4 linked regions of the Rattus norvegicus genome follow. The protein of the gene in region 3 purifies or fractionates together with the protein of the main gene of each other region. This does not show direct contact. Links are inferred from orthologs where the notes say so. Each region holds a gene or a part of one and is shown on either strand. Other genes may lie near its edges.

Region 1 (4,131 bases), on a different chromosome or scaffold from region 3:
CAGAAAATTACACTATCTAAAATATGTCTGGTCCCATGACCAAAAATAAGTTCTTACAACAAACACCATAATAAACTAACACTCTACACTCAACACTAATCTAATGTTAAAAAGAGCTTACCTTTAACTTGCAGTACTTTGCTAAACAGCAATATGAGGAAGTAGTTAAGATGGCTGAGTAGAATCCTCAAAGGTCTACTCTGAACTACAATACTAAATATAGGCAAAGTTAACACTTTGGAAATACTTCTAATTTCCACCTTTTAAGATGGGCTTAAGTTATTTGAAGGTCTCCAGGAAGAAAATGTGAATTTTACAACATATATTCAGCAACCTACTTTCAGTACCTAGACTACTCAACTTTAAAGTCTAATACTAAATCATGTCGCCAGAAGCTGCCATACCTCACTGCTCAGCAACAAACAGGACTACATACCTGAGAAGAACTGAACAATTTCTTCCTTGCTACATCCAAAAGGGAGTCCTCTAAGCCGTACAAAGCCATCATTGGCCGTGTCAGGACTATTGGGACCAGTATGCTTCAACACCCAATCCATTTCAACGTTGTTTGACTTGAATACTGAAAGAGGTGCTTAGAATTAGTCAATTAAGTTAGAGAACAAAGTCCAGATTTCCTGGGTTTTAGATAACTAGGAAGAGCTGCCATAAACTCCCTTAGATGACCATTTCCATGCGGTCAAATACCTAAAATTCAGAAGGGGTAAGACCTCTATGTGTTTAAACATTTACTGTTACTAGGGCAATGTAAATCAAACCTTCAACATATCTGTGTCCCATAGTTTCTCTGTCTTTTTTCAAGGCCAATTTGACTTCATCTTCTGATTCAAGTTCAACAAAAGCCTCGCCACTCGGTCTGCCTTCTCTGGTGTAGATGAAACGAATACCTTGAGCCCCATTTTGAATTTTGCAGTCTGAAAAGAAAACAATGCTTAATACAGAATTTAAAACCACCTCTGGGTGATACAGATGAGATGCATATTCCTGTCATCATTAAAAAAAAAAAAAAAAAAACCCACTCCTAAAGACTAAACTGATCACTCACCATCAAATTACCTGGTATATAGGATATATTCCTAATCCATCAAGGTACCTTAATACTCAAAAACAGTTCAAATGAAGCTACTGCCTTGCCTCTAAGTATCCACTAACCATCTCTGCACAATGTCTCAGAATAACCTCATCTGGGCCTGGTGACCTCACAGCATTTTCTGGGTGGGGTACCATGTCAGCTCTCCTCTATCAGCAGCCACATAACTGCTCACTCAAATCCAAACTCCAGCTCAATACTCACCTGAAAGGGCATCAATGTAAACAACTAAAGGCTCCAAACTGCACAGCTCAAGTCAAACCCGATGGCAACTGCCCCCTGCCATTGCTTCCAGTATACTTGAGTCTTGTTTTACAGGTCGTTTTCTGTTACCACAGCTAAATTCAGACAGTAAGGTCAACACTACAGGTACCTTTTTACGAAACTTGTCAATGTTTTTGAAATACACCTCTCTTCTCTTACAACAGTGGGAATAAGATTCTGATAGAAATTATTCAGAAAGCCTACACATAGTGTAAAAATAAGTAAGATTCTACAGTGACAAAACTTTCTTGGGTTTCAGGGTTCTCAGTTGTAAAGGGATCCAGTTTTTTAATTAACTAGACCTAGAGCATGAATTCAAGGACCAAATCCTAATCAGGAAAAATGAACTTTTCCAAAGCAGAATGCCTCTTTTCAAGTGAATATATGTAAGGAAGTGCAGTAGCGCTTCAAAGGGGAAATTACTATCACTTGTCTGTACTGCTCCATTTGTTTTTCAAGACCAGGAAAGAAATCATATCTTTCCCTACTGAATTCTTTCAGAGACAATTCCAAAATGCACAGATTGGTGCTTAGAGACCGAAAAGATTCTGCAGGGCCACCAGCATCCCAATGGGAGAAGGGGAGGGGGGCGGGAGGAGGGGGCATTTCGCAATTACCATTGCGTAACAGCGGCTGGCAGAGCGCGAGCCCGGGAACCGCTGGTGCCTGCGACTCGCTAGGGGGCGCCCAGAGGTCCGCCCCGCCCCGCCCCGCCCCGCCCGGCCCAGCCGCGGGCCCCCACTGACAACTCCCGCCTCAACTCACCAGAAAAAAACCGCTGCACTTCATCCGCGGAGCAGGACCAGGGCAAGCCCCGGACCTTCACCACGAAGCCCTCTCCGCCTTCTGCTCCCAGCATCATCGTCTCTTCGCTGGTCCTGGCGTCGAAACAGACTGCAGGGCTGCGGGGTGGGAGGGGGGTGGGGTTGTTAGGAACACGTCTAAGAAACAGTCATTTAAATGGCCCTCCCACTTCAAGGCGCCCTGCGGGGTTCGACCGGGCGCCGCTACGGGAGCCCCGCCCGGTACGCTGCCTTGACCCCGGAGACTCAAGCATGCAACCCGGCCTCGGCTAGCGACCCGATCCCCAACACCACTCTGTGCGCTCAGTGCTGAGGAGGGTCTAGGCTAAGAAAACCCTGGCCTACAGCCATGGTGGAGACAAGGAAATGGCGGCCGCCGCTTCCGCTCCGCCTCCTCAGACATCTCACACAATAGAAGCGGCGCGGCCTGCAGGCCTAGGCGGCGCTGCCACGCCGGCGAGACACTCGCGGTTTCCAGGGGTAGCCTGTGCTTGCCACGGCCCCCCAGGTTTTAACCTAAGTTCAGCGACAAGCAATCGTCACCAAAATAGGCGTCCGTGGAGGGCTCTGGTAGCAAACGAAGACAGAACACCACTCACCTCCACACAAAGCCTCGGCGTGGCTGAGGAAAAATGATAGGAGAGCGCCTGCGCAGCCTAAATAAAGCCCTCCGAGCAAACTCTGCGCACGCGCACCCCGTGGCCGGCCCCGCCCCACTCGCGTCACACAAAGATTAAACGCATGCGTATTAAGAAAACCTGCGCTCTCTCCCGCTAGCCCATTATTACACGCATGCGTTTGGGCTCCGGCCCCTTCATAAACTGACCGAGGGGTTTTTTTCTTCCTGCGCCTGCGCCCTTTTGCAATTATTGCGCTTGGCGTCTCAGCGGTTTATCGTTTTACTTAAAGCGCATGCGTCTGCCTTCAAACCGTTCTCTAGACCTACCCGCCAGAGTGGGGGAGGGGAATGGCGATAATCAGCTCCCAGCAGGGACTGGGTAATAATCCAGAGTTCAGGTTTACAGGGGCGGTTGTTCTACCCTTAATCCGCAGCTTTTCTTCCGCGTTCCTGTCAGTTTTGAAAGACAGCAGGAGGAAAAGGAAGCCATGCCCTTTCTCCCTAGAACGCGTAGGAGCTGGAAGGCCGGTTTATGCCGAGCCTCCTCTCCGTACCGCCCCGCCCCTGCGCCCAAATCCCAGATCACCGTGGGGTGCCTAGGACCAGTCCCCTTACCTGCCCGCTTTAGGGGATCAGTCCCCGACCCACATGGGCTGTCAGTGCCCGAGCTAGTCCTGTATCCCACTTTGCCTAACGAACTCGCAGTCTGCGAACCCCTCGCCTTCCCAAGGCCGCGGGCCCTCGCACGAGAAGCGCTCTGTGTGCTGCGCCTCGCGAGTGAAGGCTGAGACTACCAGGTGCGCGGAGGACGCAACCCCAGAGCGCGGCGCCCGACCGATGTACCTCTCCCAGGTGGAGACACCTCCGGGTCATCTCGTGTGCACTTACAGAGATAAATGGGTAAAAAGTTAGAATTCCAGCAACACAGCAGAATACGGATGATGTTCGGAGTCTCTCCGGATTTGACTGACCCACCCCTGCCAGACCTGGTAGAAATTAACAATAGTGTTATTGTTTTGGTGGTGCCACAGTGGGTACCACAGTTGGTATGCCTCTGAATGCCATCACAAGAGGTCGCGGTCAAAATTACGTTTTTCTTTCAAGTACAATATTGAGGAGGCTAAATCCACTTTGGATAGTTTTTTTTAAGGGGGTGGTGGTCATCAAAGGAAAGGTGCAGAGACAGCATGCAGAACTTGGACCTTTTAAGTCTGCGCAAGGGTGTTAAGTAGACAGAAGCTTTCAGCAAGAGAGCAACAGGAGCTGTGTAACATGAACCTTCAGGTGTAAGGGAAACTCCGATGAAACAGGCTGGGAGAATAGTGGGGCATGACCTC
Region 2 (3,567 bases), on a different chromosome or scaffold from region 3:
CATTACAGCAAAAACCATTTTGAACACTTATTTTTGTCCAGTCCTAGAACAGAAAGTATGTAAACTGCAAATATATAGGACATTAGTTATAAAGCAGCTGATGAGCTTTCTTTCATGAAAAAAAAGTTATGGTTTTAGATTATAGATTTACTTATTTTTACTCCAAGGCTCGTGTCTCAATATAAGAATGCTTTCAATGAAAGAAGATTGCTTATCTTGGAGAGCTAAGAAAAACACCAAACTCCTCAAAAGTATCTATGTATATATACTAATTTACAACTGCAACTTATTAGGGTAGTTTACACATGCAACCACTATATACCAGTAGCTCCTGTGGCAGAGTTCAAATTATCTCAAGCTGGAAGAAGTCCTTGGTTACAAAAAAATTTAGCCTACTTTTTTAAGATACTTAAATCAGGGCCTAGAGGACAAAAGTCATTTTCACATTATAGATAGCTAAAACTGCTAGCAGGCCCTAGGAGTAAATATAGGTTTTAGGGTTTTATGCTGGTCCTTTACTGCTCGGGCACACTCAAACTTGGCTTTGTGCTGTGAATAAAAGTTTAGGTGAAACTTAAGGAAAAAGATAAGTTAGGTTCCTTCCTAAACTTCTTTGTCAACTGACCTTCAGGCACAAGGGCTTCAAGGGGGGTCAAAGGCCACTGGCTTTCAGGGGAACAACATCCACCCTTTCATTAATGACACCGATGACAGTATGTTTCTCAGCCAGGCTTAAAGTCAGCACTCAATCTCATTCTCCTCCACCTAGGGGGGAACAGCAACACCAGAAATCAGTTTACAATAGTTTCCCATGTGATTGCTTAGTTCAGCCTAAGCATCAGCACATGTGTATATGAACACAGACCTCTGGTGTTGCTGTCTGTTATGCCTTTCAATAAAGGACATACAGGAGCAATGTGTCCCAGCTCCAACTGTCTGCCTCTTACATTGTCTTGTCCCGAATTCTTTGTTTTACATCAGAAATCAGTAAGATACTGACATCAAATGTTGGTGGTTTTTTTCTGGGGGGAGGGCAGCAATTCAAAATAATAGTAGTAGTGGTAACATTGATGTTGGAAATTTGAGCTCAAGGCCTCATGCATGCTATGCAAACATTCCACTCCTGTGCTCCAGCCTTTCACTTATTCTTAAAAAAAGAAAAACCACCAGGAGCTGCCAAGTGCAGTAAGTTGTAGACAAAGCATTAAAGGAAATGGTGTCTTTTTACAGCCTGGAGTTTTGTTTTTAAAATTATGACACCAAAATGGAGAACGATCTTAAAAATATAACACTAAGTATGTAGTATTTGAGAATTCAGGACTGAACAAAGCAGTAGGAAGCAGGAGGAGCCATGCTCTCATCATTTTGAATATGTTGTCAATTTGTTTTTTGTTTTGGGTAATGATAATTTTAGGGTTGCTACTTGCACCCAAGGGAGAACACTTTAATTTCAGAAAAATGTTTTAAATTTATTTTGGATAATTTATTTTTTATAATTAAAGACAGCAAATCGAATCGTTATTTTCCAGAACCACTTCCTTTTCTCTTCCAATAATAATGCAGTGCCTCCCTGAAGAATCTAATCTGTATGAGCCTTCCTGGGAGTAATAAGTACTACACCCTGGAATGCTCTTAGGAAGAACATCAAGCAGGCTGAGAAACATACGGTCACATTATCTTCCCTTACATTGTTTTATAAGCTTAACAGGAAAAAAAGGCATTCTATTTAAACCATACATAAGAACTTCGCGATCCTTTAACTTCATAGTACTCAAGTAACAGGATTCTTAAAAGAGCTGTCAACATTAAACCGAGGTCAAATTTGGATGTATAGGTAATACATACAATCTACTTCTAAGACAACAAAACACTGCAGAACCATTTAAGTATTTAAAGCTATCACCAATAAAACTACACTGGGGAGAAAAAAATCACCACCTCTGACCAATTAAGTCAACAACTAGCAAACGACCACTGTAGATATTAACTGGCATCAAAGTCCAGCAACAGACCTTTTGCAGGACTTCTTATAGAATAGCATTACATTCTTAAGCAAAAGTTATGGTAAACTATAGTTATATATCTTTTCACAATTCACTGCTGCTGCACAGAATTAACTGAGGAACACTTAGTAAACAAAGTCAAATCACCTTAATTTTTTACAAGGAAAATAGTGAAACAAGCAAACCTGTTGTGGTCGGGACCCACTTGGGTGTACTTATATTCTCCTTGGATTTTTTCTTTTTGGAAATACTGGTTCAGACGAGCCTTAGCATTTTCCAAAGTCCAGTTTCCATGAAGCCCAGCATTTAAATCCACTTCTTCTGACTCTAGAGTCTGTAGAATCAATGATGATTAAATTTGGCTGCGCTACTTATATGTACATAAGGAATACTAAATAACATACAGCTTTTTTCAATATAAAACTACATTTTTGTAGTGCTGAGATCCAGGGGTTTGAACATGGCTAGACAACCACTTTATCACTGAGCCTGTATTTTTGAGATAGGACATCACTATGTTCTTAGAACCCTATAGTCCAGCCTGGTCTTGAGCTAGTCATTCTCCTGACCCTAATGCTGAGACTACAAGATGTACACCAGGCTAGATCTAACAACTAGTAAAATAGGCTATTAAGCTAGGGCCACTGGAATGAAGACCAGACTGGGATTCAAGATTGTCTCAAAATGTGTAAGTAATCCCACTTTCAAGCATGTACTACATGAGACTGCTTACCGCTTGCACCTCTTGCTCTTCCTTTCTTGAGTAGTAATCCTTTAAGTTGGCTCCTCGGTCCCAGGTGGGTCCAGGAGAACCATAGCCAGATGAAGACTCAACTCCAGAATTATTTTCTGCTTAAAAAAAAAATTGCTCTTTTAATTATCAAGTTTGGGGGTGGGGGAGCTACATCTACATATTTTAAAGATTATCCCTAATGACAATTTGACACTCCATGTTTGGATACATGTTTTCAATAATCTGGAAGGACGTCTAAACTAATGAGAACTATGCTGATCAGCCTTATTTCTTTGCGTGTGTCTATGTCTATGCATGTGGAGGCCATAGTATAATCTCCACAAAACAGACAAGTAGGTTAGTCTGATAGTTAATGTTAACTGGTAACTTTACTCCAAATCCCCTGGTAGTATGGTCTGTTAGAGAGAAAGAAGATAGACCTGTCCACTATAAATGCTTCGTTACTTGGACAGTAAAAACAGAAACTGAAACTAACAGTTAACAGCACAAATTCATTGCACTCTGCAAGGTGACCAACTGCTTCAAGTTTCTGTCACCTTGAATCTTGTCATGAACTATGAAGCAGAATAAATAAGTCCTTTCACTGGACTTTTTTTCCTTCACAGAACAGTAAAATACATTAAGGTACCTAGCCGGCCAGCCATCTTTCTCACAGACCCATCTGATTGCACATTGTGGATGCTGGTGGGTATAGAACATAACTCCTTATGCTTGGTTGTCTCTTTCTCCTCAGCACTAACATGTACTTTTAAGGCGCTTAGTTGTCTTTATATTCAGAATAACAAACTAAGGACAAAATTATCCAGCTAG
Region 3 (2,255 bases):
TTGTTAAACTCAATTTATAAGCTATGTTAAACTACATAAGAACTATACTGAAAAGACCATTGAAGAGTTTATTAGTTTATCTTTTAAGGGAGGAAAATTAAGAAAGAAAAAGTAAATAAGTTCTTACCTAAAGAAGTTTAACTGAAGCTTAGAACTACTTTGCTCTACACCCTCAGCTCTCGTTGGCATTCTTATCAACTACTGTAGTTAAAGCTTTGTAGATACAGCACAGTTTTTTAAGACTGGCTGAGCTTAGTCGTCAAGAGTTCTCTTGTACTAGACCTGTGTCCCTGAAGAGTACCTCGCTGGGGTTATTTCCTTTCCTTGCATTGAAGAAGCAGCATCTAAAAGATCTAAAAAGGTGTTTCTCCTTGCAGAGATATCCCTTAAGTTAACTAGGTAATTTATTCCTGATGAATTTCAGACAACACACTTAAATCTGACCAGCATTTTTATCTTACACAAATACAACAACAGCTTTGCAATGGACCTTAATTATACTACCCACTCCTTAACTTATTTAAAATAAAAAGTCTATAATTACACAATTTCCTTTAGAATTATTTTATTAAATCATAAATGTACAACAGCTTCTTAACTCTACACACGCACTTAAATTTTTAAAGGAAAAACGTTATGTCTTATTACACCATGATCCTGGCTAATAGCTTTTCAAAACTTTTTGAGAAAAATCTTAAAAAAGGTTTCACATGTCACCTGAAACTTACAAATTTAACATTATCAAAGAAGGAATGCTTCTACACTCTTACAAAGACCACTAGAAAGAAACAACAATTAAAAAGCTAAGAAACTGTCTCAAAGGCATTTTTTTTTACAATCCTTCCTCCACAGTAAGGTATTAAATAATCCAATCCATTCACAAAATGGCTCTCTGCATCTGCTCTGGTGTCTTCTGCCATATCACTGCATATTTATGCATGACTGAGATAAGAGTTTCCTTAACATTGTTATTTCGATAACCTGAAGCTGTTCTGTTACCTCTGGGCTCTCATCCTCTCCTATTTATACAGTGAAGCCTGTTTCAACAGAAGTAAAGAGTAAAAAAAAAATAGGTTATGAAATTATCCATCTAACCAGATTTTAAGGAAAGATAACATGATCCTAAAATTGCTTTTTTACTCCTGCAGCTAGTTCTCCCAAGATAATAATAATTGTAAAACTCAAAAAACTACTTACCCATGGTAAGTAGGAAGAAGCTCAATATCGGCTCCTTCCACCATAGCCCCCACTTCCTCCACTTCCTCCAGGACCATAGTTCCCTATAATGATTCAAACAAAAATGCAGGCTTAGAACACATAAATCTGAGGGTCTGTATACATGTTTTTCTTATCCTGGAAACCAAGTTCTCCTTCTGTCTTGTGACTGTACATAATATACCTGGCTGCCCCACAATGTAAAGTGATCCTACTCCTTTTGATCCCTCGGATTATAGGCATATAAAAAAATGTGATACCATCTTTCTAAGTCTATTATCTTCAAACACAAGCAGCTTAATAAGATGGATCCAGTCTTCAAATCATAAAGAATTGTTTTTTAAAAAAGCTCCTTTAAGAAGCTAAACGCAGAGTGTTATATTGGAGACATGGTTTCACATGAAGGACAAGACTTTGAAAACATGACCTTTCTGCCTCCATTTCCCCATCGTAAGGATTATTGGCAGTAATAATTGTTACTTAAATTCAAGAGATAATCACCTAATTCTGCGTGGTACATAGAGTCCCTGGTTCTAAGCAATGTATGCCCCAACTCATACTCCCAAAAAAAAAAAAAAACCAAAAACATTACCTAACATTTACATAAGTTTACCTACCCTCCCATCTCAAAGTCAGATTCTCTTCCCATTCTGAGATGAACTCTTTAGACTTCCATTCCACCCCAGTCAACCATCCAGAAGGATTGCCTATCATTTACTAAATTACCTCCACCATATGGTCCTCCCATGTTCCTGCTACCACCAAAGTTTCCACTCTTCATTGGACCGTAGTTAGAAGGTTGCTGGTTATAATTTCCAAAATCATTGTAATTTCCACTTCCATAATTTCCTGTAAAAGAATTGAAATACCAGCTAACCTCTGAATACAAGCATTGAAGAAAAACTTTCTGAATACAAATTTTCTCTAAGACATAAAAGTACACAATACCTAACTACAATCCTACAATTTAAAGTATCTAATCGACAATAAAATAAATGTCATTAATTCTAATCCAAATTCCAACATAAAGGTTGTAGATG
Region 4 (4,367 bases), on a different chromosome or scaffold from region 3:
GCAACTGTGGGATACAGCTCCATGATAAAGTATACTTAGGAGTATCTTGAGTTTGGGATTGCTTCAGTCCCTACCAAGCTCCTACCTAATTGACTATCCTTAACAGAGCTGGGTTTCTGTTGTTTATTTTAATGCATTTTTTTTTAACCTGCTGAAAAATCTCGTTAGGTCAGCACATAATGGGCACAAACAATTATGTGCACATTAGGCAAATAATCAATCTACTAAAAGACAACCCTAGCCTGAGTCTCAACAAATAAAAAAGATGAGTCAACTGGGCATGGTAGCTGCTTGTAATTCCAACAGGCTCAAAGCCAAGTTAGCATTTGCAAATTCTTGCAAATTCTAGCCCAGTTTGTCTCCCCGCCATGAGTAATTATTATTAACAAAAAATAAATTAAAAAACGCACTATAAAACCACAATTACTCACATTAGCAATATCATTTTCAGTCGCACGAAAAGGCAGCCCTCTCATGTGCACAAAATGACCACCATGGAAACCTGAACTTGCATCACCAGCTCCACCATAGCCATGTCCTCCCATGCCTAGATAAACCATGTGGGTTCACATAAGTATATTCATATACATCTCCAAAGCAGTGCATTGACACAAGTTTCCACTAACCTATCAAAGTTGTCTTACTACTACTGGAAAGTTACCTAATTACTACTGGAACTTTACAAAAGGGAATGGTAAAATTGACTTCAGTGAATAGTTTTTTTGTTTTTTCTCCCCCCTTTTTCGGAGCTGGGGACCGAACCCAGGGCCTTGCGCTTGCTAGGCAAGTGCTCTTCCACTGAACTAAATCCCCAACCCTGTAAAATTGACTTCATTATGACAATATTCTGTTTACCTCTTCCATCTCTCATCCTGTCATCAAAGCCATCATTCCCATAGCCGTAATTATTATAGCCACCATAGTCATCAAAACCTCCATAGCCTGTGGAAAATGTAAGGAAAAATAAATACAACTCTGAGCCATTGTTCTGTAAACTAGCAGTAACTGTCTTAGCTCTTTCAATTATGTTTGCAGCTGACTATATGTGAGAAAAAGTGAACACTTAATGGAAATTTACAGAGGATAAATTCAAACATGACATGGAAATGAAGTCTCATATTTATGCCAGGAAGAAAACATGCCAACCATCTTTATTTTTACTTCTCCACTGTGTTCTCTAGCTGTCAAGACATGCATCAATCAAGTTCCACCTGATGGTCATGGACATCCCATAATTTCATGACCAGGTTTTGAAACCTCATAGGTACTGGAATTACTGCCATTTCTGTACTTCTTGACAAAGTGTCAGGAACATCAAGAAAATGACAACAGAGCCTTTGTTCATTAGACACACATACCACCATCATATCCATCACCTCCTCGTCGCATTCTGTCATACATACTTCCACGCCCAGCTCCATAATAACCCCCTCTTCCTCCTATTGGTCTATCATATGGTCCAGGTCGCTGTCCCAGCAATCTTCTTGGTGGATCATAAAATCCTTTGATTTCACTCCTGCTACTCCTGAAGATCTCAATATACCTATTTAAAAATGTTTTAAGGTACAGGTTTCAGCTCAGATGCATTAGAGAGTAAATTAGATACTGGGCAAATGCAGTAAGTTTGTCTATATCTAGGTATATATCCCAATTTAAATTGCCTAAATAAACCATAAGGTTAACGTTTTTTTACACCTACAAACTTAAATATTTAAGTTTTACATAGACAAATGAGTCATTTGAAAACACTGAATTAGGAATATATTTTAGCTTGTTTCCTTTAGTACAAGATAGGTATATTAAAAAAAAAGAACAAAAACAAAACAAAAATCAGGTGATTATACAAAAACAAATTTAACAACATCCTACAAAAAAAATGGAAACAATCTAATTTTAATTTAAACTATAAGCATTAATTCCCCACCCAAATCTGTATTTCCATGTTAAATTTAGGTAATTATCAATTCTTTAAAACTACCCCAGAAAAATGTTATGCTTACCCCCCCCATTTAAGCAATAGCGACCCACAACCCCCAAAAATAAAAATGTAACACCATCCCAAACTCTCCATCCCCACCTGTGCCCTATTCTTTCCTTGTGTTTCCCCAGAGCATTTTCTGCTATCTCCTTTGAAGCAAACTGCACGAAGGCCTCCCCTGTGCTTCTCCCCTGGTAGTCCATCGTCAATGTTATCCCATTTGGCACGATTTCCAACCCTTTAACCCAAGGACAAATACCCCATCAAGGGGAACAGTGTTAAAGGCTGAAACATTCCCATCTGAATCAAATATTTAAAACAAATCTAAACAAAACAAAACAAAAGGCTTAGTTTCCCATCACCCCATAATACAACTGGAATAGTTTTCAAATATCATTGGATTAAATATTTTGTGACCAGTGTCTTAAAATTATACTTCTAAAAGCCCACTACATGAAAAACTACAAATCATTTAACTGTGCTCCCAATGGTAACTCACAGCCCATGTCATCACAGTTACTCTCGGTTAACTACACTATACATCATCAATGTTTACTTGGCCTACACATACTCTATGCAATAGTAACTGGAGCACATTCCCCATTTTACTATATAACCCAGGTTTTCACAAAACTAAGTTCTAAAATCAAATGGGTTTTACAAATTAAAAACAGTAACAGCTAATAAACACAATTTAAAATACTACTAAACTTTGACTAGTGCTAGAGGTACCTTGAAAGAACTGAACTATTTCCTCTTTGCTGCAACCAAATGGCAGTCCACGAAGTCGCACTGTCCCATCACTAGCGTCATTTGGACCATTATGTTTCATAACCCAATCCATTTCAATACCGCTTGATTTAAATGCTATGAAAATAAACAAGCACATAAAGCAGTCAATCACAACACAGTCTTACCAAAACTCCAACAACTCTGACAAGTGTCACAACTCAAAATGCAGGCAAAAGTTAAAGTGACTCCTGGGACAATCTGCAACAGTGTTCTATTAACATGCTTCTTTGGGGTAGGGTAGGAAAAGATAGTGAAATTCACCCCCCTCCTACCAACAACCCTGAAGATCTAACAAGGCTTGTAGAATTTTACCACCAGAATAAAATTTGCTGTCACACACTATCCTTTTCCTCATGCTACACTGTTTTACAAAGCTCCCCAGACTTTGTTTTACAGACAGGGTGTCACTATATACCAAACTTGTTTCTGTTTTTTTTTTTTTTTGTTTTTTTTTTTTTGTTCTTTTTTTCGGAGCTGGGGACTTGTTTCTGTTTTAAAACAAGGATCTTCACCTTTAATCCCAGCATTGGAGAGGCAGAGGCAGGAGAATCTCTGGGAGTTTAAGGCTAGCCTTGTCTACAAAGTAAATTCCAGGATAGCCAGGGCTGTTCTCTAGTCTCAAAAAAAAAAAAAAAAAAAAAAAAAAAAAACCAAACACCAACAAAAAGAATACAAGACGAGAAACAAAACCAAAAATCCAAGGGCCTCAGTGCCCAGGTTCGCCTTGAACTTCAAGCAGTCGTGCCTCAGCTGGAGAGTACTAAGCTTTACTGACACACCTGCCCAACTGCAAATGTTTAATAACACAAAGGTATATATAGTACATGCCTATTCATATTTGAAGTCTGAGTATAAAAACAAACTAATGTAGCCAGGTGGAGCTCTATAACCTGGACAGGACTCATAGATGGAATTACAGATGCTACCACACCAGCTTAAGATAATCCCACCCTCACCCCCATGAGATGACTATAATTCATCACAAAAAGCACTGCTTCTCTTGCAGAGGACCTGGGCTCTATTCCCAGCACCTACACAGGGGCTTAGAACCTTGTATAACCCCAGTTCCCATGGATCTAACACTCTTTGGGTTTCTACCCATGTGGTATACATAACACAGACACAAGCAAAACATTCATAAAATTAAAATGAGGGAAAGACAAGTATTTCAGTAGCAAGTACAAGGGAGAAAGCTCTTTTGTGTGTCTAAAACTTAAAACACCATTTTTGCCAGGAAAGTCCTTATGAAAACAAGAACTCTGAAAAACACTACACTGATAACTTTTATTTAACAATCTTTTATTACAGTTAATTAATCTGGTGTATGTGCTCATACCTCACACACATACCTGAGTGCAATGTGAAGGTCAGAGAAAAATTTTTGTTCAACAGTTCTTGATTTCAATTAACAAAACTTTACTGGGCAAAAACTGATTTGGACAAAAAGTTATCTCATAGGGTGACTTTCTATTCAAGTAAAGAGAGTAGGGAAGCAGCCTTGCTCTAATATACCTTTTAAGTCAACTCTAGAATCCCACTAAAACCCAAAGGGCAGTCTGTTCTGATACCTTAATATACAGTTTTCAAAGGCTATGCA

Evidence for each region.
Region 1: the proteins of Hnrnpa2b1 (region 3) and Hnrnph1 purify together in Homo sapiens (affinity purification with mass spectrometry; 5 studies listed by BioGRID and IntAct, with this or other methods). This does not show direct contact. The link is inferred for Rattus norvegicus from reciprocal best matches to the Homo sapiens genes HNRNPA2B1 and HNRNPH1.
Region 2: the proteins of Hnrnpa2b1 (region 3) and Dhx9 purify together in Homo sapiens (affinity purification with mass spectrometry; 4 studies listed by BioGRID and IntAct, with this or other methods). This does not show direct contact. The link is inferred for Rattus norvegicus from reciprocal best matches to the Homo sapiens genes HNRNPA2B1 and DHX9.
Region 4: the proteins of Hnrnpa2b1 (region 3) and Hnrnph3 fractionate together in Homo sapiens (co-fractionation; 3 studies listed by BioGRID and IntAct, with this or other methods). This does not show direct contact. The link is inferred for Rattus norvegicus from reciprocal best matches to the Homo sapiens genes HNRNPA2B1 and HNRNPH3.

Annotation. Positions count from the first base shown.
Region 1 is NC_086028.1:35,193,339-35,197,469, reverse strand, and holds the start of Hnrnph1 (heterogeneous nuclear ribonucleoprotein H), read right to left. Parts: upstream 2,838-4,131; 5' UTR 2,775-2,837; exon of another isoform or gene 2,692-2,774; intron 2,275-2,691; 5' UTR 2,235-2,274; coding exon 2,138-2,234; intron 933-2,137; coding exon 777-932; intron 581-776; coding exon 437-580; intron 1-436. UniProt on the Homo sapiens protein: This protein is a component of the heterogeneous nuclear ribonucleoprotein (hnRNP) complexes which provide the substrate for the processing events that pre-mRNAs undergo before becoming functional, translatable mRNAs in the cytoplasm.
Region 2 is NC_086031.1:68,176,004-68,179,570, forward strand, and holds part of Dhx9 (ATP-dependent RNA helicase A), read right to left. Parts: intron 2,856-3,567; coding exon 2,737-2,855; intron 2,338-2,736; coding exon 2,189-2,337; intron 766-2,188; exon of another isoform or gene 626-765; intron 1-625. UniProt on the Homo sapiens protein: Multifunctional ATP-dependent nucleic acid helicase that unwinds DNA and RNA in a 3' to 5' direction and that plays important roles in many processes, such as DNA replication, transcriptional activation, post-transcriptional RNA regulation, mRNA translation and RNA-mediated gene silencing.
Region 3 is NC_086022.1:81,868,464-81,870,718, forward strand, and holds the end of Hnrnpa2b1 (heterogeneous nuclear ribonucleoproteins A2/B1), read right to left. Parts: intron 2,065-2,255; coding exon 1,942-2,064; intron 1,281-1,941; coding exon 1,219-1,280; 3' UTR 1,198-1,218; intron 1,038-1,197; 3' UTR 549-1,037; downstream 1-548. UniProt on the Homo sapiens protein: Heterogeneous nuclear ribonucleoprotein (hnRNP) that associates with nascent pre-mRNAs, packaging them into hnRNP particles.
Region 4 is NC_086038.1:25,618,018-25,622,384, reverse strand, and holds the start of Hnrnph3 (heterogeneous nuclear ribonucleoprotein H3), read right to left. Parts: upstream 2,846-4,367; 5' UTR 2,823-2,845; coding exon 2,711-2,822; exon of another isoform or gene 2,217-2,710; coding exon 2,078-2,216; exon of another isoform or gene 1,544-2,077; coding exon 1,359-1,543; exon of another isoform or gene 943-1,358; coding exon 856-942; exon of another isoform or gene 548-855; coding exon 432-547; exon of another isoform or gene 1-431.